Linked DNA regions of Arabidopsis thaliana. Each later gene encodes a partner of the first gene's protein in a complex. Each region holds a gene or a part of one and is shown on either strand. Other genes may lie near its edges. The genes, in order: AT5G11350, AT5G10960, AT3G44240 and CAF1b.

The links.
Region 2: AT5G11350 (region 1) and AT5G10960 share a complex: the UniProt entries of both Arabidopsis thaliana proteins name them as parts of the CCR4-NOT complex.
Region 3: AT5G11350 (region 1) and AT3G44240 share a complex: the UniProt entries of both Arabidopsis thaliana proteins name them as parts of the CCR4-NOT complex.
Region 4: AT5G11350 (region 1) and CAF1b share a complex: the UniProt entries of both Arabidopsis thaliana proteins name them as parts of the CCR4-NOT complex.

What each region holds. Positions count from the first base shown.
Region 1 is NC_003076.8:3,618,365-3,627,970, forward strand, and holds AT5G11350 (DNAse I-like superfamily protein), read left to right. Parts: upstream 1-3,154; 5' UTR 3,155-3,218; coding exon 3,219-3,320; intron 3,321-3,403; coding exon 3,404-3,845; exon of another isoform or gene 3,846-3,852; coding exon of another isoform or gene 3,853-3,913; coding exon 3,914-4,080; intron 4,081-4,228; coding exon 4,229-4,294; intron 4,295-4,428; coding exon 4,429-4,481; intron 4,482-4,554; coding exon 4,555-4,636; intron 4,637-4,713; coding exon 4,714-4,763; intron 4,764-4,917; coding exon 4,918-4,999; intron 5,000-5,212; coding exon 5,213-5,305; intron 5,306-5,391; coding exon 5,392-5,424; intron 5,425-5,510; coding exon 5,511-5,599; intron 5,600-5,741; coding exon 5,742-6,504; intron 6,505-6,597; coding exon 6,598-6,683; coding exon of another isoform or gene 6,684-6,690; intron 6,691-6,798; coding exon 6,799-6,883; coding exon of another isoform or gene 6,884-6,910; intron 6,911-6,973; coding exon 6,974-7,048; downstream 7,049-9,606. Other genes in the region: AT5G11330 (FAD/NAD(P)-binding oxidoreductase family protein), read right to left, coding at 1-146, 255-497; AT5G11340 (Acyl-CoA N-acyltransferases (NAT) superfamily protein), read left to right, coding at 862-1,015, 2,026-2,148, 2,487-2,704; AT5G11360 (Interleukin-1 receptor-associated kinase 4 protein), read right to left, coding at 7,472-7,750, 7,839-8,071, 8,162-8,240; AT5G11370 (FBD / Leucine Rich Repeat domains containing protein), read left to right, coding at 9,485-9,588. UniProt on the Arabidopsis thaliana protein: Acts as a catalytic component of the CCR4-NOT core complex, which in the nucleus seems to be a general transcription factor, and in the cytoplasm the major mRNA deadenylase involved in mRNA turnover.
Region 2 is NC_003076.8:3,460,481-3,468,384, reverse strand, and holds AT5G10960 (Polynucleotidyl transferase, ribonuclease H-like superfamily protein), read right to left. Parts: upstream 4,288-7,904; 5' UTR 4,022-4,287; intron 3,908-4,021; 5' UTR 3,805-3,907; coding exon 2,971-3,804; 3' UTR 2,071-2,970; downstream 1-2,070. Other genes in the region: AT5G10950 (Tudor/PWWP/MBT superfamily protein), read left to right, coding at 6,753-6,830, 6,916-6,989, 7,077-7,128, 7,361-7,456, 7,550-7,602, 7,858-7,904. UniProt on the Arabidopsis thaliana protein: Ubiquitous transcription factor required for a diverse set of processes. It is a component of the CCR4 complex involved in the control of gene expression.
Region 3 is NC_003074.8:15,936,899-15,943,627, reverse strand, and holds AT3G44240 (Polynucleotidyl transferase, ribonuclease H-like superfamily protein), read right to left. Parts: upstream 3,445-6,729; coding exon 2,725-3,444; downstream 1-2,724. UniProt on the Arabidopsis thaliana protein: Ubiquitous transcription factor required for a diverse set of processes. It is a component of the CCR4 complex involved in the control of gene expression.
Region 4 is NC_003076.8:7,363,369-7,370,624, forward strand, and holds CAF1b (Polynucleotidyl transferase, ribonuclease H-like superfamily protein), read right to left. Parts: upstream 3,432-7,256; 5' UTR 3,074-3,431; coding exon 2,237-3,073; 3' UTR 2,109-2,236; downstream 1-2,108. Other genes in the region: E2F1 (E2F transcription factor 1), read left to right, coding at 23-293, 424-493, 610-752; OFP10 (Ovate family protein), read left to right, coding at 1,321-1,911; MS1 (RING/FYVE/PHD zinc finger superfamily protein), read right to left, coding at 4,339-5,761, 5,917-6,199, 6,512-6,824. UniProt on the Arabidopsis thaliana protein: Ubiquitous transcription factor required for a diverse set of processes. It is a component of the CCR4 complex involved in the control of gene expression.

The DNA.
Region 1 (9,606 bases):
AACTTATGTCCCCAAAGAAACATGGTCTGAGGCAATGCGTTATACAGAAGAGATTGAATATCTGACCAATAAGCTGCTCGGAAATCAAAATCCTCATCTCTTGTTAAAATCCTTGTCACTTTCTTCTCACTATCAGTTGTCTGATTCTACAACAAACCCACAACACACAAAAAAAGTTAAAAACTTTAGGTAGAGCTGGAAAAACTAAACGCCGATTGTTTCAATTGTCGAACTAAACTCAGTGTTCTTATTACCTGATCAATCGAGAGAGGCAAGGTGATTTCATCTAAGAGCTGTGGAGTAGTAAGCCATGATTTGATGATCTGCCGAGCCTGAGGGTCGAGTCCGAGCCCAGCACCAGTAGGACTCCCAACAGGAGGTTCGGAAGATTTCTCGAGAACCAAAACATCCCAGCATGCTAACGTGAGCGAGTGTGCGCAAGATAAGCCTGCTATACTTCCTCCTACTATGATCGCTTTCCCTTTCTTCTTCCCCATCTCATCAAATCAAATGTTTCTTCTGCTTCACAAATTGTTAACGATAAGAGAGAGTTTCAACTTAATGAAACCTCTGGGTGGATAAGAGGATTAGAACTATGTGGGATGATTCCAGGCCCAATATTCCAAGCCCAATCGTTTGGTCATATAAATAAGAAACTGATCTCTGTTGTGCGTCAAAACTATGTATTAGAATTTCATTTTGTCCAGGCCCAGAATGAATTATAGGCCCAATAGTCTATTCTCTCTCCCACGAACATTATTTATAGATTTTTGGGTTTCCCCTAAATCTCGAGCTTTTTCTTCCCTTGATTTCTTTGGTCTCTGTCCGTACGACGTCGAATATCTAGATTGTTCGACGGCGATGGGAGCTGGGAGAGAAGTCAGCGTATCGCTAGATGGAGTCAGAGACAAAAACTTGATGCAGCTTAAGATACTCAACACGGTTTTGTTCCCGGTTCGTTACAACGACAAGTACTACGCCGATGCAATCGCTGCCGGCGAATTCACCAAGCTTGGTTCGTCTTCTTCTTACTTGATTTTTCTTAATTTCTGTCTCTCTTTGCTTTCCCCAGTAATTCCTGCTTAAATTTCTTAATGGGCATGTGCTATTACGATTTCACGGGAATGTGCCTCTGAATCAGAACTAAAATTCATCGAATTTTGGTATTTTTGCTCTCAGATTTCTGTCTTTTTACCTGAGCGAGCATTAGTAGTCGAGTTTGTTCCTTTAATAGGAAAAGTTTGCTTTGGGGGGTTTATGATGAACTGTTCTGTGATTAGGCTTGGTATACTCTACAAAGAAAGTACCTTTTGCAATCCTGCTTTCCTTTGGTTGTTTGTTTAGTTGGTTCACTGGTCATTGTAATAGGTGTGATTATCTGTGTCTTCTCTTTTGTTCGGTTCCGTGAATTTATTTGACTGAGCCATGTTTTATTTAGGTTCAGTACTAGTGTCTGATACTAGGAAGAAGATGATTTTATCGGTAATATTGGTAGAAGCCTTCTTTCTAAGCCTTGAATGGATCGATTTTGTTTGCTTTCTATTGTCTGTTGTTTCGTAATTACCGATTCATGTTTGAACTTTGTGGTTGATGACATTGATGTTGACAAAGTATCATCTTGATCGTTGTTTTAAGTTGTTTGACTATATGAATACTGCATTCTTTTGTTCAACCAAGCAAAATTTTTTGTATGTTAAGCATGTGTACCTTGTAATCTATCGCTGATTGACTTATATTATCTTTCGAGAACATGGTCCAAGACTAATTTTCGTATTCACAGAATTTTTTCAAGCTCACTTTTGTGAAACCCTTGGTTGGAACATCTTTTGCGTCAACTAGTTCTTTAAATGTACAATAAGATGTGATTATGAAAGTCTAAAGACTGTTAACAACGTCTTAAATTTGGTACTAACTATTTCATTGCAGTTGCTTGGGTAGTTATGTTCTTGGTGTTACATATATTTTCTCTAATTTGTGATCAAGGAAAATTCTTCATGTTCTAATAATGGATTGACTTCCTCTCAGCATATTACAATGACATATGTGTTGGAGCTATCGCCTGTCGGCTGGAGAAGAAAGAAAGTGGGGCCATGCGAGTTTATATAATGACGCTTGGTGTTCTTGCACCCTACCGTGGGATTGGCATTGGTAAGTCATAAATCTGCTGTGCAAAACTTGAATACCGACAAAACATGAATAATGAAGAAAACTGTTAGCATGTTGTGTAATTCTGTTGTTTTCCTTACGTTTTAACACATGAGGCCAGCTGTAGTATGTTTATTCTGTAGTTCTCTATTTGAAGTGTCTCCATTTAGAGATTCAAACCACCAAGAAATAGTCCTTAGGGTTTTATGCATATCGTTGTTTTACCGAGAAACTGGAATTATGATTCCTCCTATATCAAGATTTAAGATCGAATTCCCTGCTTTAGAAAGAAAAACTCGATGTCTATAATTTGTGTATCTTGTTTTTTTCGTCTTTTGCAGGCTCAAATCTATTGAATCATGTTCTTGACATGTGCTCCAAGCAAAACATGTGTGAGATATACTTGCATGTGCAGACAAACAACGAAGACGCAATCAAGTTCTACAAGAAGTTCGGCTTTGAGATCACAGATACCATACAAAACTATTACATCAACATTGAGCCAAGAGATTGCTACGTTGTCAGCAAGTCCTTTGCTCAATCTGAAGCCAACAAATGATGAAAAATACCAAACTTGGGGAAGCCATTCCTCCCCAGTTTCTTTGTTGCATTCAGTTCAAGATCTATTAATGTTATGATGATCCTTCGGTTTCCGAGTTTTGCTTGTTTTGTTGACCTTAATTTTTCTTACTGATTCTAAATTTATAAATTCCTGGTTATATACTTGCATGATTTCTCTAATGTCCTCTTGGCTTTGGACATTTTCGTTTGGAAAAGTTTTTAACTTTGCAACTCAAAGCTTTACTACCAAGTATCATCGTGTTTGTAAATGTTGGTCTATGAATTTGAGTAAAGAGAGACAATGATTCTTGTTATGAGCTGTAGAATAAAGTAAAGAAAAAAATGAAGAATTTATGACTTGCGTTTTGGCTTGCGTGCCATTTATTCACAGTGAAGACTGGAAGATGTGTTCTTCTTGAATCAAAAAACGGCACGTCTTATGAGTCTCCGTTCATCGGTGTCTGCAATTAAGCACCGGTTCCTCGAGCTTCCTCACTCAATTCGATTGACCAATGCGGCGTTCTCGTTTTGTTGCTCAAGTTTTCTCCGACGTTACCTTCGCTGACGCCTCCACTATCTCTGCTCCAATCTTCACCATGTCTACTCGTGCTCCGGTAAATTTTCTCAGCTATTCTCTTGTTCTATCACTCCCGCTGCGTTGCTTCGGTTACTGGAATATAATTTGTTTCTTACGAAGCAGTACAGAGGTGCCCGAGGACGAGGACGAGGCCGAGGTGGGAGAAGTTTCTCCGATCGTCCGTACAATGATGACGCGGGAAGAGATCAGTTCGTTACTGGAGATTCTCATTTTCAATCAGTTCATGACGCCAATTTCCGATTCCGGCATGGTGAACCTTATCGACAACATCAGCCTCCGCTTGATCAGCGGCAGCAACCACCGTTCAATCAGAATTACGAATTTCGACCTCCGCCGCCGTCACGAGGTCAGTGGCAACAATTCCGTCAACCTAATCAGTTTCCGTCTAATCAAAACTACGCGGCTTGCCCTCCCCCTCCGTTCTATCAAAACCAGATGTCCCGGCCGCCTCCACAGCAGAGCTTTCGTCAACGGCCACGGTCAAAACCTTCAGATTACCGTGAATGGGAATATGCCAAAACGCCACCGTCTCCTGGCTCCGGTAATTTATGCGTGACCATCTCATTTGCTCCGGTATACAATTTTTGATTTGCTTTCTCTTGTCTACAGAAAAGTTTGTTGTTTTATCGTATAATATATTGGCGGATTACCTTGCAAATGATCACTGGAGAAGTCTTTACTTTCACATACCGAGGAATATGTTGAGTTGGGGATGGAGAAAGAGCAAATTAGTGTTCGAGCTTAGCCTATGGTCTGCAGATATAATGTGCCTTCAGGTTATAGTTTCTGCTATATCTTCTTGGTAATTGCTTGTATGAGGGACTAAGGAGACAAAACTTTCTTGCTTTACTATTTTTTTATCATATGTATACAGAATGTATCTTCCATATGTATAGTAATCTAAAATTATTTTGTATATGTCAGGAAGTTGATAAATTTCAGGACTTAGAGGAGGAGATGAAGCACCGGGGATATAGTGCTATTTGGAAGGTAGGTTTGTTGAAAACTTTTAGTTGTCTTGAGTTTGTATTCTCTACGGACTCTCTTGGAGTAAAGATTAAATGGTATGCATCATAAGAACTAGGCTTCAAATGTGGGGTTAACTCTATTTTATAAAACTGTAGATGCGGACTGGTAATGCTGTTGACGGATGTGCAATATTTTGGCGATCCAATAGGTTTGATTCCCTTGCTCTTCCTTGTGTGGATCAGTCTGGAATCTTGTTTAGGATTTCATTGTTATCATATTAGATTCAAGTTGGTTCACGAGGAAAGCATCCAGTTCAATCAACTTGGTCTCCGAGATAACGTTGCTCAAATATGTGTGCTTGAGGTAATATGGATACCTTATGTTGATAGTGACTTATATACATTTGCCTCTTTGCCCTAAATTAAATTTGCTCTGTGTAGACATTGTTGACTTCACATACAAAAGAAAATGAGACCCCTCCACCTGAAAGGTAACTTAAAAGTATCTGTAAATGTTACTATCATATCATTTTATGGGTGGATAATTTCACTAGGAAGTGGCCGATTTTCTTCAGATTTCAGTGGTTTTCTGTATGGACTATACTTTGTGGGTGGGTTGAAGTGAATTACCAATTTCTTTTACAGCTCTGCTGGTTCCCATCGAGTTGTCATTTGTAACATTCACGTGCTTTTTAATCCTAAAAGAGGAGACTTTAAACTTGGTCAGGTACTTTCCTTTAATGCCATATTCTAGTTTGTAGAAATCTTTTGCCAAACGACAGTTTTACTCTCTGGTTTAACTCTGTCTATACGCTATGAACATGTATAAGTGTTAGGTGTTTGAGATAAAACTTTTGAAACCAAACGCTTCGCCCCTTGCTTAACTTGGTTTCTTTAACTGTTTCCATTTATCATCTATGTATTTATCTCTGTTACGTAGGTCAGAACACTCTTAGATAAAGCTCATGCTGTTTCAAAACTCTGGGATGATGCGCCTATTGTTCTTTGTGGGGATTTCAATTGTACACCAAAGGTAGGACAATCTTACCTTAACCAGTTTGTATACCCCAAAAAACTTGTTTTGTGACATGGTCATAACATTCTTCCACCTGGTTGCAGAGTCCTTTGTACAACTTTATTTCAGACCGGAAGGTAAAGCTTCATTGTTAGGAAAGTCCTTCACCTATTCGCAACATTATATATATGGTTCACATTGTGTCTTGTGCTGCTCTCTGCAGTTGGATTTGTCTGGTTTGGCCAGAGACAAAGTTTCGGGGCAAGTTTCTGCTGAGTTTCGTCCACCAAGGCCAGAAAATTATACAACGAGGTAGAGCAAACTCACCAAGTTCTTCGACATCATTAAGTATATGGTTATGCAACTTAACACCTCCATGTCTACCCTAGAATATCGGGTTCTACTCTGCTTTTGCAATTGTCAGCATGGTTGATAGGCCTCCTCAATTTTCCAGGTATCAGTCCGCCAACAAATCTCCACAAGGTCAAGTTCAACCACCAAATTTGATCACAAATGCTCATATGGAGAATAACTCCAACATAGATGTTGGAACGGCCCCCTCCGAGAAGACATCTGAGCTTCCATGTGGTGATACAATTCTTGCTGGTCACGAAGCCACCTCCAGCTCTGACCAAGTATTACCATGCGAGAATATGGCCTCAGATTGTCAGTTTGGAATAGAAAACAGAAAACCTGATGATTCCGGGAATCTCTCGACAGCTGAAGATCTTTCTTCACTAACCATATCAGATACAGAACCTCAACATGCTTCCAGTGCTAGAGAAGATTTGAATACAGATCGTTCTGTAAGTTCCGGTTTATCAGAAACAGAGCAAACTCCTGAGGAAATATGTTCCAGTGATCAAGATATTTCATCTAGTCTCTCCACCAAGGTTGACACTTTTGTGGCTGAAATGAAACTAGATGGCTTAAAATTGGACGAACCAGTAGTATTCGCGCAAGATGAAGAAAGTTTAGGTGAAGATGGGGAAACCTTTTTGGCTAAGCTACACGATAACAATGAAAACTTGAGTCAAAAAGGGGAACTTGTGAGTGAAGTTCCACTTAAATGGAGTTCTGAAGCTTTAAATAGTGACAAAATCACTTATAGTCCATCCTCTTGGACTCCAATGGAGATAGCAACTGCAACTGGTGACCCAGAGAGAACTACGGTTGAACATGCTCTGGAGCTTAAAAGCACATACTCAGAAGTGGAGGTATTGTAATATATCCTCCCTACAGTTTTTCCCTTTTATCTTCTGTTTCTTGAGAAATTATATCCTTAGGAAGCTGTTGAAATTTGTGGTTAGGGTCAAGCAAACACAAGGGATGAAAACGGAGAACCTGTAGTGACCAGTTATCACAGATGTTTCATGGGGACAGTTGACTACATATGGTATTAGCATTAGAAGCAAAACCATTTGTGACAAACCTTAAAATTAGATTACTTCATTATTGTAAATTATGCGCGTTTTGACATATTCTCATGTTTGATTTCTGGTTTGGGTTAGGCGGTCGGAAGGTCTTCAAACAGTGCGTGTGCTTGCTCCAATACCAAAGCAAGCAATGCAGTGGACTCCAGGCTTCCCGACTCCTGTAAAATCCCATGATATTCTTATATAGCCTACCTTTTTAACTGAATTGTTTACAAAACTTTTTTATGTTTGTATTTCTGGTTTGTTACAGAAATGGGGAAGCGATCACATTGCACTGGTTTCAGAGTTGGCCTTCTGCAGCAGCAAAACTCTGCCCAAAAGCTGATATTAAACTGGTGGTGAGTTCATTAGAAATCTAAGAAAGTGTAAAGAGATTAGATGGTTGAGGTCTTGGGTTCAAAGCACATCCTTGTTGCAATGTTTGTGCTCTGAAGGTCGCCAATAGCTTATTTTATATCCCAGCAAAACATCTAAGAGTAAACTTTTACAGAATCTCATAGGCTCTAGTTTTGTATTTTTCTCTATCATATTTTACAGTGACAAATTATATTTGAGTTTTTCTTTTTGGGCGACACTCGATTTCAGAAAATCTGCTATAAAAGTTTAAAGCATGCTTCTTGATTTTAAATAGCTTCAATTGTTAACCCCTAACTCTTTCAGCTTTAGTCTAGACTGACTCTTTCAATTATTACAAATAAACACCTAGCATTTATCCATGTCCCTGTGTCCAATATAAGGACATCTCACATTAGGACCTAATCCCTGCAATATAATTCAGAGCATCCAAAACTTCTTGCATCAATGGTCGTTTCTTCTTGTCCCGATTGGTGCATCTTTGGATGAGTGTGACAATCTTTGTGGCCGCATCCACAGGATAATCGCTTCCTATTCGGGGGTCGATTATTTCCCCAATCTTATAATTATCGGGCAAGAAAGACCCAGTCCAATCTGAGCTTTGATTCTTCAAAGCTGTTGATCTATCTTGTGAACCAACTAAAAGCTCAAGCAAGATCACGCCAAATATGTCCTATCAATCAATAAGTACACAACACATATAGAGACAAAAGAAAAATTTAAATATGTTGAGTAAAAAAAAAAAGACAGACTTTACTTACCACCCACTCTTGTAGAGCCTGTGAACTGCCATGAAGATATTCGACAACAGAAACAGGGGTACCGGTTTTAGTTCTTGATGGTGCAAATGTGGTGTTATCGATGTAGCCCTTGTAGAATGATCGAATATAGTGATCATCGCGAATTACGACCCTGTCTTGTCTGGATTTCTTCGTTGCTTTCATCCATTCCTTGAAACTGAAGACTCTCAGATTCTCGCTTTGTGCCTCCACTTCTTCATATTACATATATAGACTTGAGTTACGTATTTTAAAAACATTACATGTAAACAATTGTAAAGTGAATTTATAAAACAGAGATGTACCTGGAATTAGAGGGACGGTGAGAGGCTGGTAAGCAAAAGAAGAAGGTTGTTGCTTGAAAGGCTTGACAATGTTTCCCATTGTTGAAGATACAAGGGTTCAAGGCTTGTTTCTCAATCTCTTTGGCTCTCAAAATCGGAATGGAATTCACAAGATACTTACTTCTGGTTTCAAGACATCTTGTTGGATTTTAAAGAGGTCAAAAAAATTCAACGCTTTGAAAAAGTTATGTTGAGACAGAAAAAGAAACAACCACTATTGATGACAGCAGTACTAGTTACTAAGCTCGGGGAAAAATTCTTAAAATCAAGTAAAGAATCTCAGAAAAGTGGCAAGACTCAGTTTTAGTAAGTTATTGACTTATATTGCTTTAGTTGATTACAACTTTTTCTGTAAGACACAAGTAAACAATTTCAGAAAAAGTGTTGTCAATTTCAGTAAGTTATTGACTTATTGCTTAGTTGATTATAAATACAGAGGCTCTAAATGGAACTTTGAAACGTATAGGGCACAGAAGAACAGTTGTTATTTTTGAGTAAAAATGTACAAAAAGACAAAACCAAAAACGCGTTTATTTGCTTTCCTTCTCTTCTAGTAAGCTGAACTGAAAAGCTATTTGAATATATATTTTTACTCTTTTTTCTCTTTGTAAATTCTAATAATCGAACAAAATATAACGAATTTTCCATATAAAAACAAGTCATTGGTGATATATTAATTTGTCTGTAAAACGTATTTCATTAAGATTTGTGTTTTTTCAAGTTACAACTGAAAAAATAAAAATATAGCATCCATTTGAATTTATTTTATAAAAATAAATAATTCTTTATTAAATAGCAAATAACTTTTCTCATTTTTTTTTGTAAATATTCTCTTTTCTATACACTAAAGTCTTTACAATATCACATATTTCATTGATTTTATTTCATTGACTATGTAAAGATATTCATTTATATATACAATTAGTATTTTTTTTAATTGAAAGTTAGTACTAGTATGTGACTCTGTGGGTCGATCCATTGGCTGGCCCACGAGGTCCACTACTTAACCGGTCTGAAAGTTTTATGTACATACCGCATAAGAGACCGGTAAACAGAGCGCTCTGTTTTTGTTTCGTTCCTAGGGTTTTAACAAATTGAAGGATTTTCTAGGGTTTGGTTCCATTGGTCTGTTTCAATTGTTTGTGTACGTAAGATATAGACAAGATCATTGGGTATTCTGATGATGAATTGCTCGTGAAGATCTTATCGTTTCTTCCAACAAAAGTTGCTGTAAGCACGAGTATTTTGCCAAAACTTGACTACGATAACACCGTCAATTTTGATATGGAGAAAAGCAAGAGGATGGAGCTTTTTATTGACAGGAATCTGCCAGCTTGTGTCTCAAGTCTATCTGTTCATCTAATCAACCTAAATGTATCAAATTTTGGGTTGACATTGCAGTTTCA
Region 2 (7,904 bases), 160 kb from region 1:
TTTTGTATGAGGAAAAAAGGATTTGGAGGGGGGAACAAGACAAAAGAAAGCTTGGCAGTTCAAAAGATCTTCTGAAACTGGGACCGGTTTTATTTGTTTGGATGAAACGACAACTTGTTGTAATATTCACGGAGTAGATGAAGATGACAACAAGTGACAATGAAATTGAAAAGGATGCTCAATGACAAGAGAGAGAGATAAGGAGAGAGTGGACCAAGTGAAACTATTCAGGTATGTTTGATGTTTTTGTGTACTTTTGAAACTTCGAGATGAAAGTGGTCATCTCTGTTTCCTTTTAGCTTTCCACTGTTTAACTCTCTTTTGTCCTCTTTTCACTTCTTCCTTTTGAAGTTTGCTTCACATTCACACTCTCCTTCATCTTTATATCCATTGGAATCCTTAATAGTTTGCCGGATTTTATGGTTGAAAGGTACGAAACTCCCTTAGGACACATTCTACTTCACAGTGATTTCCACTTTACATGATTCACTTGAATATTTATCATATCAATTAAGTGACATGATTAAAGATTAATATCACCCTTCTTTCACAAGTCCATTAAATGAATATTGTTTGTTTTTTCCGAAATATTCGAAGGCCAATAAATTTTGTTCTGGTTTGGGTGGGAAAACAAAGTGAAACGACAAAGCGTCTCATCTATGCTTGCTCGGGATACGAATCTTCAGTATTTGATTTCTCGAAAACTTTAGCATAAATTAATATGTGGTGGAAGCCGGAAAATATAAAAATAGGCAAGTAAAATCCAAAGAACTAATTGTTAGGACAACTAGTTTAAGTATGTTGAGTATTTTGTCGAATGCGACCTATATATAATTCGTGGGTCCAATGTTACAAACGATCTACAATTAAAGAAATTGTGAAAGCTGATTCGGTGGATCAATTGTTAGTATCAATTAAAAATTTGATTGACTACAAATTATTTTATAAGTCTCTTACATGTACACTAATATGAACTTTATAATAACTTAAGACTGTATAGGTATCACATTAGCATTTAAAAACAAGAAACATGATTGCGTAAGGGGAACTGAGACAAGTGGTGCAGGAGAAACCACCCCCACATGGATGATTACAAATATAAACACTATTTGTGTTACCAGTAATCACAAATCAGCTGAATCTTTTTGATTAGATTTGTCTGTCTCATCCAAAATTAGGCAAAAAGTATATTTCAAAACTACATCTGAACCTTACTCTTCATTTTTGAAGAATAAAATAACAAATAGCCCTAATCATACTTAGTTACTTACCATTTTTTCCGCAATCAAGTACTATACATCAACAGAAAAAAAAACTAATAAAATAAAAGTGGGTGCTTGACAGCTTCTTTTGGATTCACAAGGATATGTATATCATAAGTTGATGAGTAATCGTTATAATTAGGGTTGGCACTGATATTTTGCTGGTCTCAACCAAATTGATAAACATACTATGTTTAGGCATACCAAATTTTCCTCAACGAGAACAAGTTCAAAAAAGACATATGGCAGCCACAAGATAATAATTAGACACTAATTAACTCAATTCATATCTGATATGTATATAAATAATTTTGATGCTATTTCGTCCGCACTGTGTTACACATTTTTATTTAAATATGTAACGTTTTTTTGGTTACCTAAAGCAAAGCAATAGCCAATAGTGGTCATTTGATAATAACTAAACCCTAAAACAACAAACATGCCCAAATCAGAATCCCAATTCAACCTTGGTAAAAACGTTCTCCCACCTCTGATCAAAGCCCACACAACAAAGGCCCAAATCAGAATCCCAATTCCCAACACACAAACACACGTGAAGAGACTCAGAGAAGCCGTTAAAGACAGGACTAGCAAGTACACTGTTTCTTCTGTAATAAGAAGTAGATTTGATTCTCTGCCACACCTACATAATAGTGACTCGGACTTTTGCCGTATTGCTGTTGTTTTCTTCTTTTTACTTTATTTCTCGTGTCGTGTTGCTATTGGATCATATGTTTTCGATCATCAAACAAGTTCGTGTAATGAAATATTTAAGGTTTTGAGAAACTTAGATTTAATTATCTTGATGGAAACTGAGTTCATACACAAATCCACATTTTGACATAATACTTCCAACAGGCTGATACTTTTTTTTTTTTCTTCGGCAATTGAATGAGCTACGACGTCTCAATCAGTCAAATCTCGTAATCTTCTGTACCACTTGCGACTCAGATGACGTCTGAATACTTGCCCAACAAAACATTGATTGCATTAGAATGCTACTCATTGACAATATGATAATAAATTGGCTATTGAGGTGATTGGCGAATGCAACAGCATACATATGTGATTCTCCTCCACATTAACCATGACATGATACCACTTACATCATAAACACCTAAATAACAAATCTATACATCAATCGATTACCATAGCTCTGTTTTTTAAACAATGTAACACATATAACCTCTAGCATAAGCAGTTCATTGTTCTCCTTATCAACTTGTATCAACGAAGAGGGAAAGAAGAACACAGGAAGATTCAACATTCTCTTAAGCATAAAACTTACCAGTTTGCATCTTCAAACTGGTATGGTTACAAAGAATTACACAGTAACTGCAAGCTGAGACATGCAAACGCTACTACAAGAAGCCACTGTCAAGTTACATTGGTCACTAGTAAGAAGAAAACACACACAAAAAGAAAAGAGAAGAAAAATTAAAATTGGAGATTATTTATTAAATAAACGGGTAGCTGAATTGATATACATTCAGAAACTCAAGCTAAAACAAAAACCCCTCAAATTTTGATCACAAGGGGTTTTCCTGAAAACAAAGCAACAAAGACACAACAAGTCACTTACTAACACCAATTTGCCAATTTACACAACGACGATTCTATTTTGGTCTTCTCACACTCACAAAGACTAAAGAAATATATCTAATCGCACTTCCCTGGAATTTTCAAAGTATCTTTCATTCCTTTCTTCTTAATTAGCAACAGTAGTAGTAGTACCATCTTCCACACCTAGACCATACAAGACTCCAGTGTATTTCTCAGTTGATCCCGGGAAATAACGTTCCTTGAGCTTCCTAAACGACCCTAAGGTGAGCAAGCTATCCGACCCAGCTTGATGACAAATCCCAACTCTCTCCACTCCCATAAGCTCCGCAAGTCTGTTCAATCCACCAAACAGTCCGTTGCAGAACGTCATCAAGTGCTTGATATCGTAAACCGTAGGGAAATACACATACAGAAGCTTGAAGAAATCAGCTTGCTTGAGAGGCAATTCCTTACAAGTCAACAACTTAACCAAATACCCGAAATCATATCCACCATGGAACGTAACCCACGAGATAGCATCGTTCAAAACAATCCCAGACGACATCATAAGCTCACCAAACCTAACCACATCAATACCTTTCTCAATGTTCTTCTTGAAATCAATCCCACACTGACGCAACAGCTCAATAGACTCACTCGCGTAGATATCCTCACCGATGTTGAACTCACGGAAATTGAATTGCCAGATGCAGAACTTATCCGTCCCACAAGTCGGAAGATTCCCATTCTCATCAGAAAAAGTTAACCCAACTTGAATCAATTTCAACAAATCGACATTTTCCTTGAGAGTCCTGTAGTTAAGATCGTTATTGTACTTGAAAGTAGCAACAGGCTTCAAAACCACACCTGGAAACTCAGTATCCATAGCGATATAGCTGAATTTGTCAACAATCTCACGGATCAACGCGAATTCTTCAACCAAATTGTAATCCCAAACCTCTCGAATCATAATCGAATCTTCTTTCAAAGTCTCCGCCATTTCTAGATATACAACAAACCCAGATCTGAAAACAAAGCATACGTCGGAACTCGGAAATACTGCGAAACTCGTATCGGTAGATCTGTAAACGAAACCTTCCGATCTGAGGAAGAGGCAACAACACCAGGAAAATCAGAAATCGATGTAACAAAAAGCAAACCCTAGCTGTGAAACGAAAATCGAAATGAAACGGAGAGACATGAAAGTATGAAATTACCAGAGGTTTCGCAATACAGATGTAAGAAAAGGAACAGATCTAGCAGATTCGAAGAGAGATCTGTGCGTCTGCGAGAGAGAAATTATCGGGTCAACCAGAGAGAGAGGTTTCAAGTGGTATGGCTTTGGAGAAGATGAAGTGATAAATAAAGACAAGTGTGAGCCTTGAAACGAAGCCGTTTTGTTTGACGATGAAAAGCTTATACGACGACGTTTTGCCGTGCGTCTTCTTACATCAATCATTACGTTTTGGCCAGTTACCAATTATTTTATCCGTATTGTCCGTTTTCTAATTATTTTAATGATGCGAATTGTGTGATATGATGACCAATTTTTATTTATGTGTATCACGGAAATTCCGTTCGTTTGTAACTTCCATGATCTTTTTTTTTTCTTTTGCTTTGTAGACCTACCTCCATTATTCTTAAATTTTATGTATTTTATAGCATTTGGTACTAGAGTTAAATTGTTATACCTTATTATGACGATCGAACTTTATAGTTATAGGAAAAGTTGTATAAACTAAACTGCATTTTGATTTTTGTACAAGTCTAAATTTATATGGTTAAGAAACAGATTGTGCTAATAAACAATCAAAATTATTTATTTTTGCTATGGAGCTAGTCAGCTAGATGATTTGAAGAACCTTAAAACTTCTTTTTCTTACAATTTTAACTCAGTTTTATATCATTTGGTAATAATATTCCTACGGATTGTCTCGCAATTTTATATCACATTTTAATAATTTCTGTACTGATTATCTCACAAAATTGAAAGAATATCAATTTTTTTTTTTGTCGAAAATTTGAAAGAACATAATATTTGATTATTTTCCAGGTAAACTCTTTTATTTCTGTTTTTTTTTCTTCTATGTAAACTCTTCAATTTCGGATTTGTTTCCTATGTAGTTCTGCCAATTAATTGAAAATATGGTATCTTGTTTTTTTTCAACTCAAAAAAAGGATTTTAGATTTATGTTATCTTGTTATTAAGAAGGATTTGTTAGCATAATTGTTAAACAAAACAAAGTAATTTTAATTATAATAGAATTGACTTTGGGATTTCTACCTTACAAGTTACAAGTGGCCAATATTAATGCAATCATACAACGAATGGGAAGACGTTTGATAGAGATACATGCATCACTTGTTACAATCATCTTCGTTCATGAATAGAATCATTTTAGATTTATTTATTTTAGAAAAAAACTTTCAAGTTTCACCAGCGTAATCAGTTTTTCTTCTTAAAATTATTACATGAAAAGATTCTCCAACTCAAACGAGGACCAAAGTTCTTTTTTTTTTTACAAAAAAAGACAACTATTAGGAAGAAAGGGGATAAAGGAATTTTAATTCTAATTATTATTACGGAGTCAAGGCATCATCGTGCTTCCCACTTACCCTCAAGCATAATCCATTGTTTTGTAATAATTAATTCGTTTTTATATAAACTAATGTATTAGCTTGTTTTATATCAAATAATTGTGTACCTTTTTCTATAAATTAAAAAAAATAAACAAGTAATGTCAAGTCACGAAATATTAGATGGTGGTTTCATCATCCGACCATTTTTAGGAAATTTCTTCTGGAATCCAACACATACCAAACATGAAAGTTTCTGCATAATTGTTCTTATATATATAACAAAATTTACTTAATTGTTACCCTCCAAAAATATGTCTCACCGTGTAATTGCTTGCTCATCTAAAATCTAAATAGAATTCTATATTTAAAATCAAAATCGAAAAAAACGAAAATAGAAACTAAAATTGAAATTTTTGTTACTTAAATTAGAAAGAATTATTTAAACAGTTGCATGTATTTAACGTAGATAAATTCTTTAATATCACGTGCACATATAATTTAGATTAGGTAAATCATCTAGTACCAAATATTTGTTTAATTTTATGGGTTTTGGATTGTTTAGAGATGTTTAGATCGTTCCTACAAATGTTCGAACAGCTTGATAAAACAAATGTCATATTCTACATGAACTCTAGGTAACATTTCGATATGATCTATTATAAGATACACTTAAAGATAAGAAGGCTCATAGCTGTTAAGTTACTAAACGTTAAGTTCACTCGTAAAAACGAGTATTTAGTTCTTGATCACGTTTCAGAGAAAATAATCTTATTAGAAAACCATTAAAAACCAAGACCGTAAATCTGAAGATATATCGTTCATAATAATATGACCATATTTTCTATCATTTTATTTTGGACCAACTCCGGTGATCTAATATTAATTTGAGGATCATCATCTAGTCATCGTAAAGCACTATACTAGGATAAATATCTTTTCCTCTAACTTGATAACACTGGATATTGAAGGTCCAATTACTGGCAGAAAACATTAATAGGTAAATAACAACTGGCTAAAGATAAAAAAAAAGAAGACCTTTAACAAGAAAAAGATGAAAAAAAGAAGAGTGGAAGAGACCAATAGAAGTAAAGCAAAGAAAAGATGTGGTCGTCGTCAAACACGTGAGAGGTAATTCTTAACTAGTAAAGTCACGTGTCGTTGGTTAGTTCAGGGGAAAGAAATCTCTCAAATCCCCCAAATGACACCCCTTGGTAACCTAAATAAAACCCCCAATTTCACCGCTTCTTTCTTCTTCGCTCTCTTCCTATAAATCTCTCTCTGCGCTGTAAGAAAAATATCTTACACCAAACACAAACACAAAACACAGATTCCTTCTTGTTCTTCTTCTTCCTTTGATTGCTTTCGAAGATGGTTGGTTCTAGGAAGCGTTCATCAGCCAAGAACAGACTTGTTTCTTCTTCAACTCGTTCTTCTGGGAAGGATAAGGTTTTGCAACTATCGCTTCTTCTTCTTTGGTTTGAATTACTAGTTTTTCTATGCGAATTTGCTCTAAAGTATTGAACTTTACTAGGTTTCTGATGCTCGTAAATATGGTGAAGCCTTGGTGGGTTCAAGGATACGAGTTTGGTGGCCGATGGACAGCAAGTGAGTGTTCCAATCTTATTGAAAAAATTAGGGCTTTTTTACTATCAGTTACTTGTGGTCAATCTTACAGATCTCTTGGTTTTGCAGATTCTATAAGGGTGTGGTGGATTCCTATGTCTCTTCCAAGAAGAAACATCGGGTAATTCATATCATGTATCTTGTTACTTGTTTCTATGGGTCTGCTTGAATCTAGATTGGATTTTGAATTGCACATTCATTAAATGAATGAATTAGGGTTTATCTCTTGGATTTTAAGATCTATTGATATCTAATCTGAATTGAATGAGTTTGGTGGATGATTTACTTTATCAGAGGAATTTAAGTTGCTTAGATAATGTGTCATTTAATGAGTTACTCTTCATTGTTATTAGGTTTTCTATGAAGATGGTGATAAAGAGACCTTGGATCTGAAGAAGGAGAGATGGGAGTTGATTGAAGAAGATGATGCTGAATCTGAATCTGATGAGGTAGATATTAGACAGTGTTTGTTTAATCATTTATTGTCGATTTTATCCTGTGTATCACTAGCTTTTAATGGTTCAGCATTCTTTTTTTTCCAGATCTCCCTACAGGAGGAATCTGCTGGTGAGAGTTCTGAAGGCACTCCAGAACCGTAAGTTTGCCCTTATCTTCCTACCTGTTTTAGACATCGCAACCTTGAGTTTCTCTTTATACTTAACTAGGGTTATGATTTAGATCGTGTGTTGTATCGTATAGTACCGATTGTTTTAATATCACTAACAGTCATGATTTACGAACATGAGTGTGTCAGATACACATATATTCATGGCTGTGGATTGTGTCCCTGAATCTAAAGATTTAGGAGTAAGTAATTCTGAATGATCTTTGTTGTCTAAACTCTCTACAGGCCTAAAGGGAAAGGGAAGGCATCTTTAAAAGGAAGGACGGATGAAG
Region 3 (6,729 bases), on another chromosome or scaffold:
TTTGGATTTCTTTTGTCGACTATGATTTGGATTTTGGAAAAAAAAAAAATTCTTTTTCAAGTCTTTCCTAACTGATATAGGATTACCATTTGGTAATTTTTGATATTTAAAATTTAAAATACAATTTGTCTTTGCAAAGCGTGAATAAATGAATCGAGCCAGATTGGAAATTTTGACATCTTTATTTATTTTTGGCTATTGATATATAAAAGTAGTCATCACTTTGAGTGTCACTAGACTTAAAAGTCCAAATATTATAAAATAATGGTAGAAATTCAGATTATTAAAATCTTGGTTTGATATCTAAACAAAAACATAACCCTGTTTTTCAACATATTTCATCACTAGATATATTAATGTGATGAGACCCAAAATGTTAAAAAATCAAAAATTCAAAATTATACTCTGTTTTATATTAACTTAGATGAATTGTTTCAGTAAAATCTATTTTTAGATAAACATTTCGTTAAAAGAACATTACATTTGGGATTGTAGCTGTAATTGCTAGTATGTTGTATTTAGCTACTAAATGCATTGGTTGTATCTACAAAATTTAGATGGTCACTATCTAAAAATCAGAATAACTTTTTAACATATTTTGATATTATAGAGTAATTTTGGTACATATCAAGGGATAATTAGCTAACAAATCCAAAGCGATTATAATTTTTACTTTTGTCCATAAAGTCAAGAACTTGAGAAAGTAATATTTTTTGGGTGTAAGATTACGGTAATATCCTTTACGTAATTTTAAAAAGAAAAGTGAAAAAAGAAATAAAATATATATTATTTTAATCATTTCTCGTTCTTGAATATTTTGAAAAGTAATATTCCAAAATTTATTTATTTTCTAATTTATAATTGCATTAAATGCAGTATAAGAGCATCCTCATTGGTGAACCATTCTTTTGAATGTCTCAAGACCAAAATAGTTAATATTTTAATATCAAAAATAGACTGACCATTTAAAATGAGATACATGGAAGAAAATATCTTTAAATAAGTGTTAAAAGGTTTTAGTGTCCATAGAAAGACACACATCTTTTCTTGATTCTTTCAATTATTTACTATTACTATTTGTATTCATTTTATATTTAAAGACTCTCCATAAGCATCCTCAATGAGGATGCTTTATAGTTTATAAATAGGAAAAAACTGCTTTTACGAGTGCTTAGCGTACTGATAAACTCATAAACATAAAGATTTATTTTGGCTCTGATTGGTGATAACAAAAAGAACGATAGGAATATGAATGAAAAAGAACAAAATGAAACAAGAAAGAAAAAGGAAAATGGTCATAAGTAGGAACCAGGAGGAACATAGGAATTGAACAAAATGATTATGGTAAATGGTAACTAAAAAGGTGAATTAATATTTAACATAACAATTACTAAAAAATTATTTATTGAATTTTGTTTATTAATTTCATTTAAAATTAAAGTTCTGTATAAATTTAAAATAAATTATATTATAAATTTCTCTCCAAAACATTTATTTATTTTATAGTAAAATTTTAAATTATTTTGCAAATTTAAAATAAATTTCACTTTAAAACATTTATTTATACTAATTTAAAATAAATTCATAACATTCATTAAATTGAAAGTTTGATAAAAAAAATTATATATCAATATATACTAAAGACATGGAAAATATTATATATAGAAATATAAATATTATCATAAAAGCTATTTTAAATTTATTTAATAAATAAAAACGAATTTTATTTTTTTTGTTACTCTTGGTTCCTCTACAATTTTGGGGTGAAACAATTTTGTTCTATTATTCTTTTTTTTTTAGGAATGATGAGGAAAAATGTAGGACCCACATGTCTGAAATTGGAACAAAAATACCTTGCAAATGCTAAAACAAAATTAGGAACAAAGAGGAACACGATTTTCCTACTCATTTTTTTCCTCAAAAGTGGTTACTAATCGGAAAATATCATCTTTAAACCATTTACTTTTCTCGATTTTAATCAAAAAATATCTAGTGAAGTGAGAGAATTTGCAGAAAAATAGCAGGTAGGAACTTTAGATTTTGAATATTTTATTTCTTTTTTTCTGCCTGTGAGCTCATTGTATGAGATATTTATGAAATATTTGAAGTTAATAAATTATTTTTATTAAACATTTTAAATACAGTTCGGACTTAATTAAAATAATAAAAATAATAACTAGATAATCATATACAGTAGTTTAATTCATGATCTATGACGAGGCACAAATATTTGGTATCATATTTGGCAATTTATATAAACTGAGCATTACTAAATTCTATCAAAGCCATGTAAATGAGAATACGATACAAATGGTTATTTGAATAATAGTGTATAAATAAAATTTAGTTAATCACTAAGTTCTATGAAGACAATATCAATCAGAATAGAACTTGATCATTCATGCATCTAAATGATTGTGTAGTATATTAGTATCAACATTTTAGTCAAGTCAACATGTAATGAAGAAAAAGTTCTAGTGTTGAATTAAGATCACAAATCAATACACAGCAGAAACACAAGCTAGGATCACAAGACATGGTAAAGGATGGGAATGATCTTGTTCAATTGGGCCATGTCAAATTATTCTTGGTGTATGCTGCTACTTCTCCATCTTCAATGTATCTTGAGTCTTGAAAACATCTCATTACTAGAAAAATAATTGAACGGACATATATCATTGATCAGTCTTAGGATTAGACAAAGGCACAAAGCACACACACACACTACACTATTGCTTCACTTTCTATAGTTCTTAACTCCAAAGAACCAAAACGAAGAAAGAGAGGAAACGGAGACAGTACCTTAGCGAAAACCATCGCCGTTAACTCGTTATTGGAACCGGCGTGGTGTGCAGTACCAACACGGTTAAGTCCGAACTCATGCGCTAGAGTCTCCAAACCAAGCCTGCTACTTAGTCCTTCACATCGACCCGCCATGACTTTCAAATCGTAAACAGAACCGAGAACTCTCGCGACCGCTTTAGAAAACCTCTCTGAAGTCACAGGTAAAGCTTCTCCGGTGAAACCCTTGAGTAAATAGGCGATGTCGTAAGATCCATGAAACGTGACCCAAGTAATATTCCTCCTCGTCTTCTTCAGCATCCAAAACATCTCCGAGAAGAAACCCTCGATTCTGATGCCCTCTTCTCTAATCTTCCTTAGATCTAGACCGTTGCGTCTAAGGAACTCAATGGATTTCTCGTTTCTAGCATCGTCAACTCCGAAATCAGAGAAATTGATCTCCCATGTTCCTCCAATTCTTCCATTGATATCGAACAGAGTTAGCCCTAACTGGATCAATTTTGCTCTGTCCACACTAAAACTCATATCCATGTAACGTTCCTCATCTGTCGCATGTTGTGTAGTTTCCCTCAAAGTAGATGGAAACTCTGTGTCTATTGCAATGAAACGGTAGCTTCTTAGACAATCTTCTATTAAACTCATCTCCTTGTTCCTATTTCAATTCCAGATTTCACGACCATTTTGTTCGAGAGCGAGAGAAAATAATGTGAGGGAGTCTTGGGACTGAAACTTCTTTATAGAGTCTGTCACCGCCGCAAAAGTCTTGGATTTGATTTTATTAGTTATTTCGGTTTTGGAAAAGGAAATTTCTTGTTTTCTTGCGAGACTAATATTGTAATTACTGATCATTTAAATTCACCTTTCAGGTATTTAAAATTCACAATATTATAAGAAATCAATGCTACAAATTCAGATTATTCTTTTATTGGTTTACTACCAAAAGTAAACCTATTTTTCAACATATTTCATCACTAGCAATATTAATGTGATGAGACTCTTATTGTTAAAAAGACAAAAATTCATAAATGAACTTTCTTTTTCCATTTTATTAGTTAAGATTAATTGTTTTAGTGAAAAATATATTTTCAGATAAATCTATCAAAAAGAATATACTATATTTGTGATTGTAGCTGTTATTGCTAGTATGTTGAATTTAGTCCGTAAATGAGTTCATGTATCTATAAAATTTAGACTGTCAATTTCCTAAAATCAAAATAACTTTCTAATATATTCATCACAATATTAGTGTGATAAGATTACAAATGTTAAAAAGGCAAAAATTTAAAAATAAACTTTCTTTTCTATTTTATATTAATTAAGATGAATCGTTCTAGTAAAACCTATTTTAAAATAATTATATTGTAAAAGGAATGGTATATTTGCAATTGTAGCTCTACTAATCTAGTTGTTAGTATGTTGAATTTAGCAAGGAAATGTATTGGCTTTATCTATAAACTAGATTTTAACCCGCGGTATACCGCACGGTATACCGCGGGACGATTTTAAAAGTAATATATATTAAAATTTGCAATTTTTAATTTTAAAATATATTTATATTTTACAGTTTATAATTGTTATTAAATAACGCTATACCACGAATCCATGAGATAATTGTTAAAAAACTGAAGTTGTAACCCCTATTAAAACAACAGCATAATAATAATTTAAAATTTTATAAATATTGATTCAAATACATCCACCATATAACCCAATTCCAAAATAAAACCTGTTCTATAATTTATTTACCCGTCCTGTGATTTTTTTTTTAAAGTAGTAATTTTTAAAATTTAAGAATTCTTTTTTATATATAAAAGTTTTGTAAATTGTATATTCTCTAATACATTTATATTTTATAATTTAATTATATATATAGTAATATTATACATACCACATAACATTTTTGGTTTTATATAATCTTTTCTAAATTAGGATGATTTGATATGTTTAATATTAGTGATCTTAAAAAATAATAAATTAAAGATTTAACCCGTATTGAAACAGTGGATTAATTATATTTTACTTTTTTATTAATGTTGATTCAAAAACCCGTCACTCCAAATCCGTCTTGCCAAAAAGCCATTTATTTTATTAATATTAATTTTACTAATGATATGACTCTGAATTATAATTTAAATATTTTAGCTGATAACATAGGAGTACACCATATTTATTTAATAGGGGAATGTACCATATGACCCGAATGCACTTTTACCCAAATCCACCAAACAAATGTTGCAAAAATACTATAGAGATAAAAAACGATAGTCGGTTTTGATAGGTATAAGATTAACAAATATATTAGTCAGCTTAAATTAGTTAAAGAATACAAATCGAAAAGGAATATTACACTTTATTCGAATATAGTATCAAAACTTATATAACACAGAGATTTGATAATTTTTTAATTGTTGAATACTTTTTTTTGTGCTAATTTTTATGTGATTAAGATTTAATTGATTTTGTATATAAAATATTAAATTGTTTTACGAACTTATTTGTTTATAATTTGGTAACAGATAGATATTTGAGTATTCAGTATATTTTGCTTCAGTTTAGGAAATCTTTGATGACCCGTCTTTAGATCCAATAAGCCCTATAATCTAGATATTAACCTGTAGTATACCGCAGGTAGGCTTATATTTTAGTTAAACTAAAAACTTTTATTGTAAAGATGATTTAAAAATATATGATATTATTTTATTTAATTTTAAATGTATAGTAAACTGTGAGTTGTATATGTTTTGTTGATATTATCTATATTGTTTAGTGTTTAAGATTATACACTTGTAGTTTGATTGTTAATTTAAGAGTTTCACCTGTAGTATACCATCTTATATTAATATCGATCTAAACCCGTCAATTCTAGGATTTTCTAGCTTGTATTAAAAATTGAATCACATCATACACATAAAAATTATTATAGTATATAAGATTATAAATTTTCAATATAATATGTATGAAATTAAATATAAATATTTCAAATTATGACCCGTTACTCAGTAGAAAGTTTTCTTAAATCTATTTTTCACCCGGTATAATATTTTTTCATGTATTTAACAGTTTATATTCGTTTTTAAAAATTCTAATTATTGCATATGCGAAAAAACTCTAATTATTTTTTTATAATGATGATATTATTTTTTTGCAAAAATAGAATCATATAAAGATGAGAAGTGAATTATAATAATTAATAAAACATTAATATGATAATTTAGATATCAAATCTAATTTGTTGATTTTAATTGGTTACTTTTTTGGAAATTAATAATGTATTTTATTTTTCTAATTAAATCAAATTAATTAAAATTTAGATATCAAATCTTATATGTTGATTTTGATTGGTTATTATTTTTGAAAATTAATAATGTATTTCGTTTTTAAATTAAATTTAATTAATTAAATTAGTATTTGACTTTTTAATCCTTAAAGAGATAAATTAATTTACTCTTTAAAATTTTATTCCTAATGGCATACCTATGTAATTACTTACAAAAATTAAGGTTATATTTAAAATGTACTTCCCAAATAATATAGTAGGATTTACACCATCAGTAACCTAAAATAGGACTAACTTTTTTAACATATTTTTATATCATAGAGTAATTTTGGTATACATCAACTGCAAATATTAAGCTTTTTTGCCACCTAGATATTTTCTAGTTCAATTGATTTATGACAATTTTGAATTTTGGGAAACGAGAAATTGGTAAAAGACCACAGATAGAAATGTCAATATTTTTTTGGATTATCTGTTATATTTGAAAACACTAAAAAGTATAATTTGTTTATCTAGTTGATGACTTATATTGGAATTGGATGGAAACTTTAACAAAGTTAACATCCACATATTTTATTTATTTACTCCTAATCGACCTCTTCCATATTTATTTACTCCTAAAGTCGAAGCTTAAGTTTATGTAATTGAAA
Region 4 (7,256 bases), 3.7 Mb from region 1:
CATTTATATTGTGCTTTTTTAGTCAATTCGAAGAGAGCTTTGAGGACATTCCTCAGGCTGATGAACCTTCAAATGTTCCTGATGAACCCTCTAATGTCCCTGATGTACCTTCAAATCTTCCATCAACATCTGGTCTCCCTGAGAACCATGATGTATCTATGCCGATGAAAGAGGAAAGCACCGAAAGAAACATGGAAACACAGGAAGTTGATGATACGCAAAGAGTTTACTCTGACATCGAATCTCATGACTTTGTCGATGGTATCATGAAGATTGTTCCTCCAGATTTGGATGTAAGTCCCAACTGCTTCCTCAGCTTAAAATTTTCACCAATGTACATAATCACAGTCTGGAAAAGTAACCATATCTAAAAAATCATGCTTGACTTAATTCATATTTACCTGTATGTTACATTATATACAGATGGGTGTAGATTACTGGTTTCGATCAGAGGTAGGCGAAGTCAGCATCACAGACATGTGGCCAGATGAATGTATCCTTGATTTCTATCACTTTCTGTGATTTAATCTAATCTCTCTTTGAGCTTTTGAGTTTTTTCCTCCCCAAATATGATATCTGTTTAGAGCTCCTTGACTCTTTCATCATTAGCTGGACCAGACTGGAACCAGATGATTACATTTGATCAAGACCACGCTGGACCGAGCGACAACAAAATCTTGGAGCAGCCACAAACTCCATCGAGCCCAACACCAGAAGAATCCACTGCTACGAGATCACCTACAGGTAGCTGAAGTTACCATACCACATTACAAGCACCACCATATATCTGTACATAGAATCTGATTTCGGTGAAACCAGAGTTAATGTTGTACTTGTACAGTAGCTGCATTGCATTATCATAGAATAGAGATTGCAAAATAAAAGTAGAGAAACCAACCCCTTCGTTGTATTCTTCATTTTTTTTCTTTGTTAGCTTCTCAGGCTTAATATAGAATTAGCCTTAGCCCATTGATTTCTTAATATTGGTCTTGTTCATGTGAAACTGCAAAACCTTTTAGAGTTGTAGACGGGTGCTTAGTAGTTTTACATGCTCCATTTCCGGTTTACCAAAAAGGTAACCAGATCGAAACTAAAACATATTTCCGTTCATCAAAAATCTTGACGAAAACATATTGGTTCGGTTGTGGTTTGAGAGATTTCTTTTTGGTTCAAATCGGTTTCTATGTCCAATCCTTTGATATCACTCGAGATAGTTTCTTACAAATGATATCATATATAACTTTGAATTCACCTCAAGATGGTATTATTTTCCTTAAAAAAGAAATCCATCAAAATTGTGCATCTCCAAAGCAATGAGCAATGCTGAATCTCCAAGCTAAGTTAAATGAAAAAAAGGTTCCTCTTTTAACAAACTTTCCCACACCAACATCCTCACTCAATAATCTCAACTTGTTTTCTCTTCCTCTAGTAAAAAAAAAAATGTCTTTCAAGAAGATGATGAAGTATATACTCAAAACCATATTCAAACCCATTTTTATGGCATGCGGTTGCGGCTCTACCGTTCCACCTTCCTCTCACAGCCACTACACCCCGGGACCACCGGTTTCTCCCACGGTTTTACGCAGCCCATGTCCTAAGATCGATGAGAGCGTCGCGATGGCTAAAGAATCAATCAATCCGTTCGAAGATTACAAGAAGTCGATGAATCAGATGATCGAAGAGAGATATATCGAGACGGAAAGTGAACTTAAGGAGCTTCTAAGGTGTTTCTTGGACATAAACCCTTCTCCTCAACACAATCTCATCGTCCGTGCTTTTGTCGACGTCTGTTCACATCTCCAACCACCACACGACCGACGTGGGAAGTCACTTGGGAGATTGCTTCGTCTATATGTTAACAATCCTCTTGATAACAATGATGATGACTCACACCAAACTTCTTCAAAATGAGGAACTAAATCCTCCTCATATCTCTCTCTATATATAGATGTTACAATATTGTGAATAATTTCAATTTATGATTCCATGACTAGATGTAAACTATTAAACAACACCAACAAAAATCAAAGTTATACCTCAAAGCCTAGCTCTAACGTAACGATAATATTTTACTGCACAAAAAGTTTTGAAGTGTAAATTGGTTAAACAAAACCAAATTGAGTTATTTCGTTTTGGTTTTTGGATTTGGTTAAAACGAGAGATGAATAAGATAATTTCGATTTCGACTGTATAAATGATTAACAAAGATTAATTAAATTAATTAATTATAAATCCCTCAAAAAACCTCTAAACCATACAAAACTCCGGCGTGTTTCTCCGCCCCATCCTCAACGAAATACAAATCCCTCATCCTCTGAAACGCCTGCCACGTCAGCAAACTATCCGAACCGGCTTGATGACATTTCCCAACCGCCCGGTTAACTTCAAGAGACCGAGCAACCCGGTCCAAACCACCATACAATCTCTGCTCACAAAACCTCATAATATGTTTCACATCATAAACCCTATCACCGAAGAAAGCTCTAAGCAACCCTAAAAACTCACGCAACGCCACCGGAAGCTGCCGGCGCGTGAGAATCTTCACAAGGTAACCAAAATCATACGCGCTGTGAAACGTCACCCAGCTCACAGACTCGTTACAGATCAACCCCGATGACATCATCAGCTCCGCGAACCTCTCCGATTCAACACCTTCGCGACGGTTCCGCTCGAAATCGATCCCGTGACGACGGAGTAGCTCGATCGAATCAGGAGCGTGTGGATCACGCTCCACGTCGAAGTCACGGAAATTGAATTCCCAGATGTATCGACGGTTTTTTTGACCGCCGAGATCTGGGAGGTTTCCGTCGGCGTCGGAGAGAGTAAGACCGACTTGGATCAAACTTAAAGCGTCAACGTTGGATTTGAGAAGATTGTAGAGATAATTAGGGTTTCCACGGCGGAGAACGTCGAGATCCGCCTTGTAAATCACGCCGGGAAATTCTGTATCCATTGAGATGAATGGGTAATCTTCGACGATTCCTCTGATTAGGTCAAACTCTGACTCGAGATTATAAGCCCAAACGTCACGAATCACGATCACATCGGAGAGATCTGCTTCTGATTTGATCATAGTTTCAAGTCCCGATCTTTTAGGTCTTCTTCTTCGTTGTGAATTTATCAAAAGTCTGTTTTTTTTTGTTGATTTGGTTAATCTGCAAGGTTTAGTTATATATATGAATGTGAGTAAGAGAGTGTTTACGAGGAAGGAGAGGAGAAGAAGTGTGAGAAACGCGCACGTTTATGATTCAATGTGTTTCTTGACTTAGTCTAAGTTGGCTTCTCCTTCGTGTATCGAATTATTGCAATTCAAGTCGTTGTATTTAAGTAAGTACATTAAGCCGACAAGAATAAGAAGGCCAAGTACATTAAGATTTTCTATTGGTTTTTAAGAGTTGAATAAAACATGTAAACGTTACGACTTACGACCAATGAACTTTATCAGGAATATTGCTATATTACCAATAAACACTGAATATGTAACGACGCACTAAAAACGCATTAAAGGGTTGAATCATTAGATTATGATGATGTCTACACGTATCTGATTGTGCTTTAATGTTTTCACGAAATTGTAGCAACAGCGAAGCCTAGGTTGAGCCCTTTTCAGTTTTCATTGTTCCCTAGTTTACTCATCGAATCTCATGACTTTGTTGGTAGTGTTTAGAAGATTGTTCTTCCAGATTTGGATGTAAGTCCCAATTTCTAGAAACAATATCACAAACGTAGATAGTCCGTGGAGTTTTCCATCTTCAGTCAATATAATAAGAAACTTTTTAGGACGTTGACCTTGAACAGAGTTGTTAAACACATGACTGTTTTTCTTTCATTTCCTTTGTTTGCAATAACTTGATATTGTTCCATGTTAATGAAGAAATAATTTATTAATTCCAAATGCATCAATTGTAAAACTAAATTATTTAAATTATGTAAACCTTCTTTTGTTTGTAATTTTGTTTTTGCATCAATTGTAAGCCTAAATTATTTAAAACACTACACACTTCTTTCTCCGCCTTGTGTTGTGAATTATTTTCTGTTAAAATTTAACTGCCTTTTCTTGGAGACAAGCCTTAAGGTTGTTGTCAAGTAAAACTTGGAATCACGGTTGGAGTAGATGACGTCACATGAGTCATCAGGGGAAGAGGAGAGCGACATGTTGATAATGATATTATTAGAACAGTCAGGCTCCAGAGGAGGCAAGGATATGACTTTGTGATTCAACATGTTGGTGATATAGACGCAGGAGGGATCATTAGAATTCACGTTGATCGAGGAGTATAATTTATGTATTATGACGTAATGATAGAAAAAAAGAAGGTTTAATATAACATGAATGATTTAGGGTAAAAAAGAGAGAGGAATAAGATGTTGATCACAACTTTGACAAAGAAAAATGCGAGGCACTTCCTCATTGTGTTGAACACCAACACACCTTGTGTGTTGCCATACTTCACAAATATCACAACACACCATTCTCTCTCCATCTTCTTCCGTTGCTCCACACTCACACTCTATTCTCTTATCCTTCTTTTTATCATCATCTTCATAACATTTCGTCACTTCAATGTTCATCATCATTCCTACGTTCCCTTCTAACACCAATCCCTTATTCCCATTCAAGGCCATTTCATCGACCCTTGTGATCTCTATTTGACCACCCACCACTGACTCCACCACGACGTCTCTTAGTTCCCAATAGATATCTCTAAACACTCTTTCTGCCTCTCCGTACACTTCACTCAATGTTGCATCTTTCTTCACTACAATGCATTCTTGTGGAGGAACTTTTATCTCGTTGTTATGATGATGACATTTCCACGCGATCGTGCAGAATATTCCTAATTCTTCCCCTCGATCTAAGTGTAACGTTTTCGCCGATGTATCTCTAATGTAGTGATACTCTTTGATGAAGTACTTAGCGTCGAGGATTGCTCTTGAAGCCATTCCGATTTGGTTCAATATACCTCCTATGGGGCCTAACACTCCCTTGTAGTCCATGAGAATGTGTTTGTAAAAATAAAACATGTCTTTCATAACTTGACCTCTTGTGATCTTATTGTGACCGTTTGTCGCCATCTTCCCCATTGAGTTTTGGTTTTGAAGGGTTATGAGTTCATTGTTACTACTTGGTAACAAATTTGATATATCCTCCAAGGAATACTCTAGCACTTTCTTCACCGGATTTAGACTACGTCGGACCAAATAGTTTCCAACCACCTGGTTCCCAAGCGACTTCAACACAAAATCAAGCAAACCAGTGTCCCCAATGTAATTTCTAGCTGCATCCCTCACTTCTTGTCTCGATATCCATCGGTATTCGACTCTTTTCAGTGACTCTATGACCACTTTGATAGCCATTTGGATCCGTTTTTGAGACCATCTGCAGTTGGTACTATCAATGGAGATGATTTGGTTTCGGGAGTTACTCATGTAGTTATCTCTTGGAAGACGTGAATGGAGATGAAGCATGAACCTGAAGAGGTCACTGAGAGTGATCAATGGCTCGGTGGATAAACTTTGGTACTTTGACAAGAGGATTGGAGTTTCTCGGTTAAGGCTGGTTAGGTGATGGTTAAGCAAGCACAAGGGTATGTTACGGACCGACTCAAGTGCCTTCTCGTAAATCTTTTGAGTCACTCCGTATGTCCCTGACCCGAACCGGTAGCCCCAACGACCGAACCATGGCTCTCCTTTTGCTACCCCATGCAGCAGCCTCAACTCCATTCCTTTTTTGTGCGACGCGTCATTCAACCCTATTTTCCTATATGAACAAAAATAAAATGACTCATTATGTGTAAATCCAAATTAATAGCTAGGAATAATCCATTATGATATGAAAACTAACAGAATTGTGTTGAATGGTTATTGTGTTGAATGGTTTATATGATATACAAATATATAAAGTCTAATTAGTACCTGGCCTTTAAACCGGTGCAGAGCCGGTCCCACAAATCCATGACCTGATGACCGGTTAAGTCGGAGCCGGTTTCAATGCCGTTGAGAGAGAGCAAGTGACCAAATCCGTTGGAGTGAAAGAAGCCGTGAAGGACATGGCCTTGAAGCTCCACAAGATGGGAGAAACTTTCCTTTTCGGGAAAAGCGTAGCCTCCACCTTCCAGTTTTAAAAAAGCCGCCATTGTTTCCTTTGAGGGGATCACGAAATGGTACTTCTTGTTGCATATCATTTGATTTCCCCAACCTGCAAGGTTCCGTATAAACCATTGTATAATATATATTTTTGATCTTTACATAAATGCATCACTTTTAACCATATATTAAATTATTATTGCTATTTTTGTTCATAAGTACGTGTAAGCTTGTATATAGATATATATGCAAGAAAAATGCTTACATGTTGAGCTAGCTAGGTCAACTCTTACTAAATTTTCAGCTTATGATCTTAGGTCATATATAGTTATATACGAATGTATTCACATGCATATATAGATAGATACGCAAAAGAAAAATTGTATACAGAGAGAGAGAAGGGAAAAGAGAGAGAGGACGTCACCAACATATTGGCAATGGTTGCAACGGAGATTGAGAGAGGCTTCGATGGGCTCTTCTACGACAAAGAGAAGAACATAGAGAGGATTTGGATTTCGTTGAATCTCGAGCTGAAAAGACCAACTTCCCATTAGACCGGAGCTCTCAAAGTGACCAAACTCAAGTAGTTTAGCGAGGTTATCTCGAAAAGACAACTCGTTCATCTCAGCTGGATGTCCAGACTCTCCGAACGTCTTCAGCCTAAAAACTCTACTTTCCCCTCTCTTCCTCTTCTTTGGAATATGTTGCTGATGGTCTGTTCGAATCAGATTCGCCATCGAATCAGAAATTTGGTTTGATCTTGAGAAGAGAGGGAATAGGAATATGATAGATTTGGATATATATTATGATGGGGTTTGTTATAAGAAGAGACCGAAAAGTGTTGAGGAAGTGTGTTAAGGGTTTAGAGATATAGTAGTCATTAAGATGATGGTCACACAATTAGTGCTTTGTGGTGATGAAAAGGAAAAGTGAGTGAGAGAAAGAGAAAGGTTAATTAAACTGTGAATTAACAATTGTTACCATTGGATTGTATGTTAGGTCTTGATATGTGCATGACTTGTAACATTAACAACTTTTCTTTCTTAGCCAAATAATTAACTATTTTTCAAAAAAACATTCAAACCCTTCTTATTCCCAAATCTAATTTCATTTCTAAAAATACTTCTGTAATATTCGAAACTGGATTGATAATTTTAATACATATACAT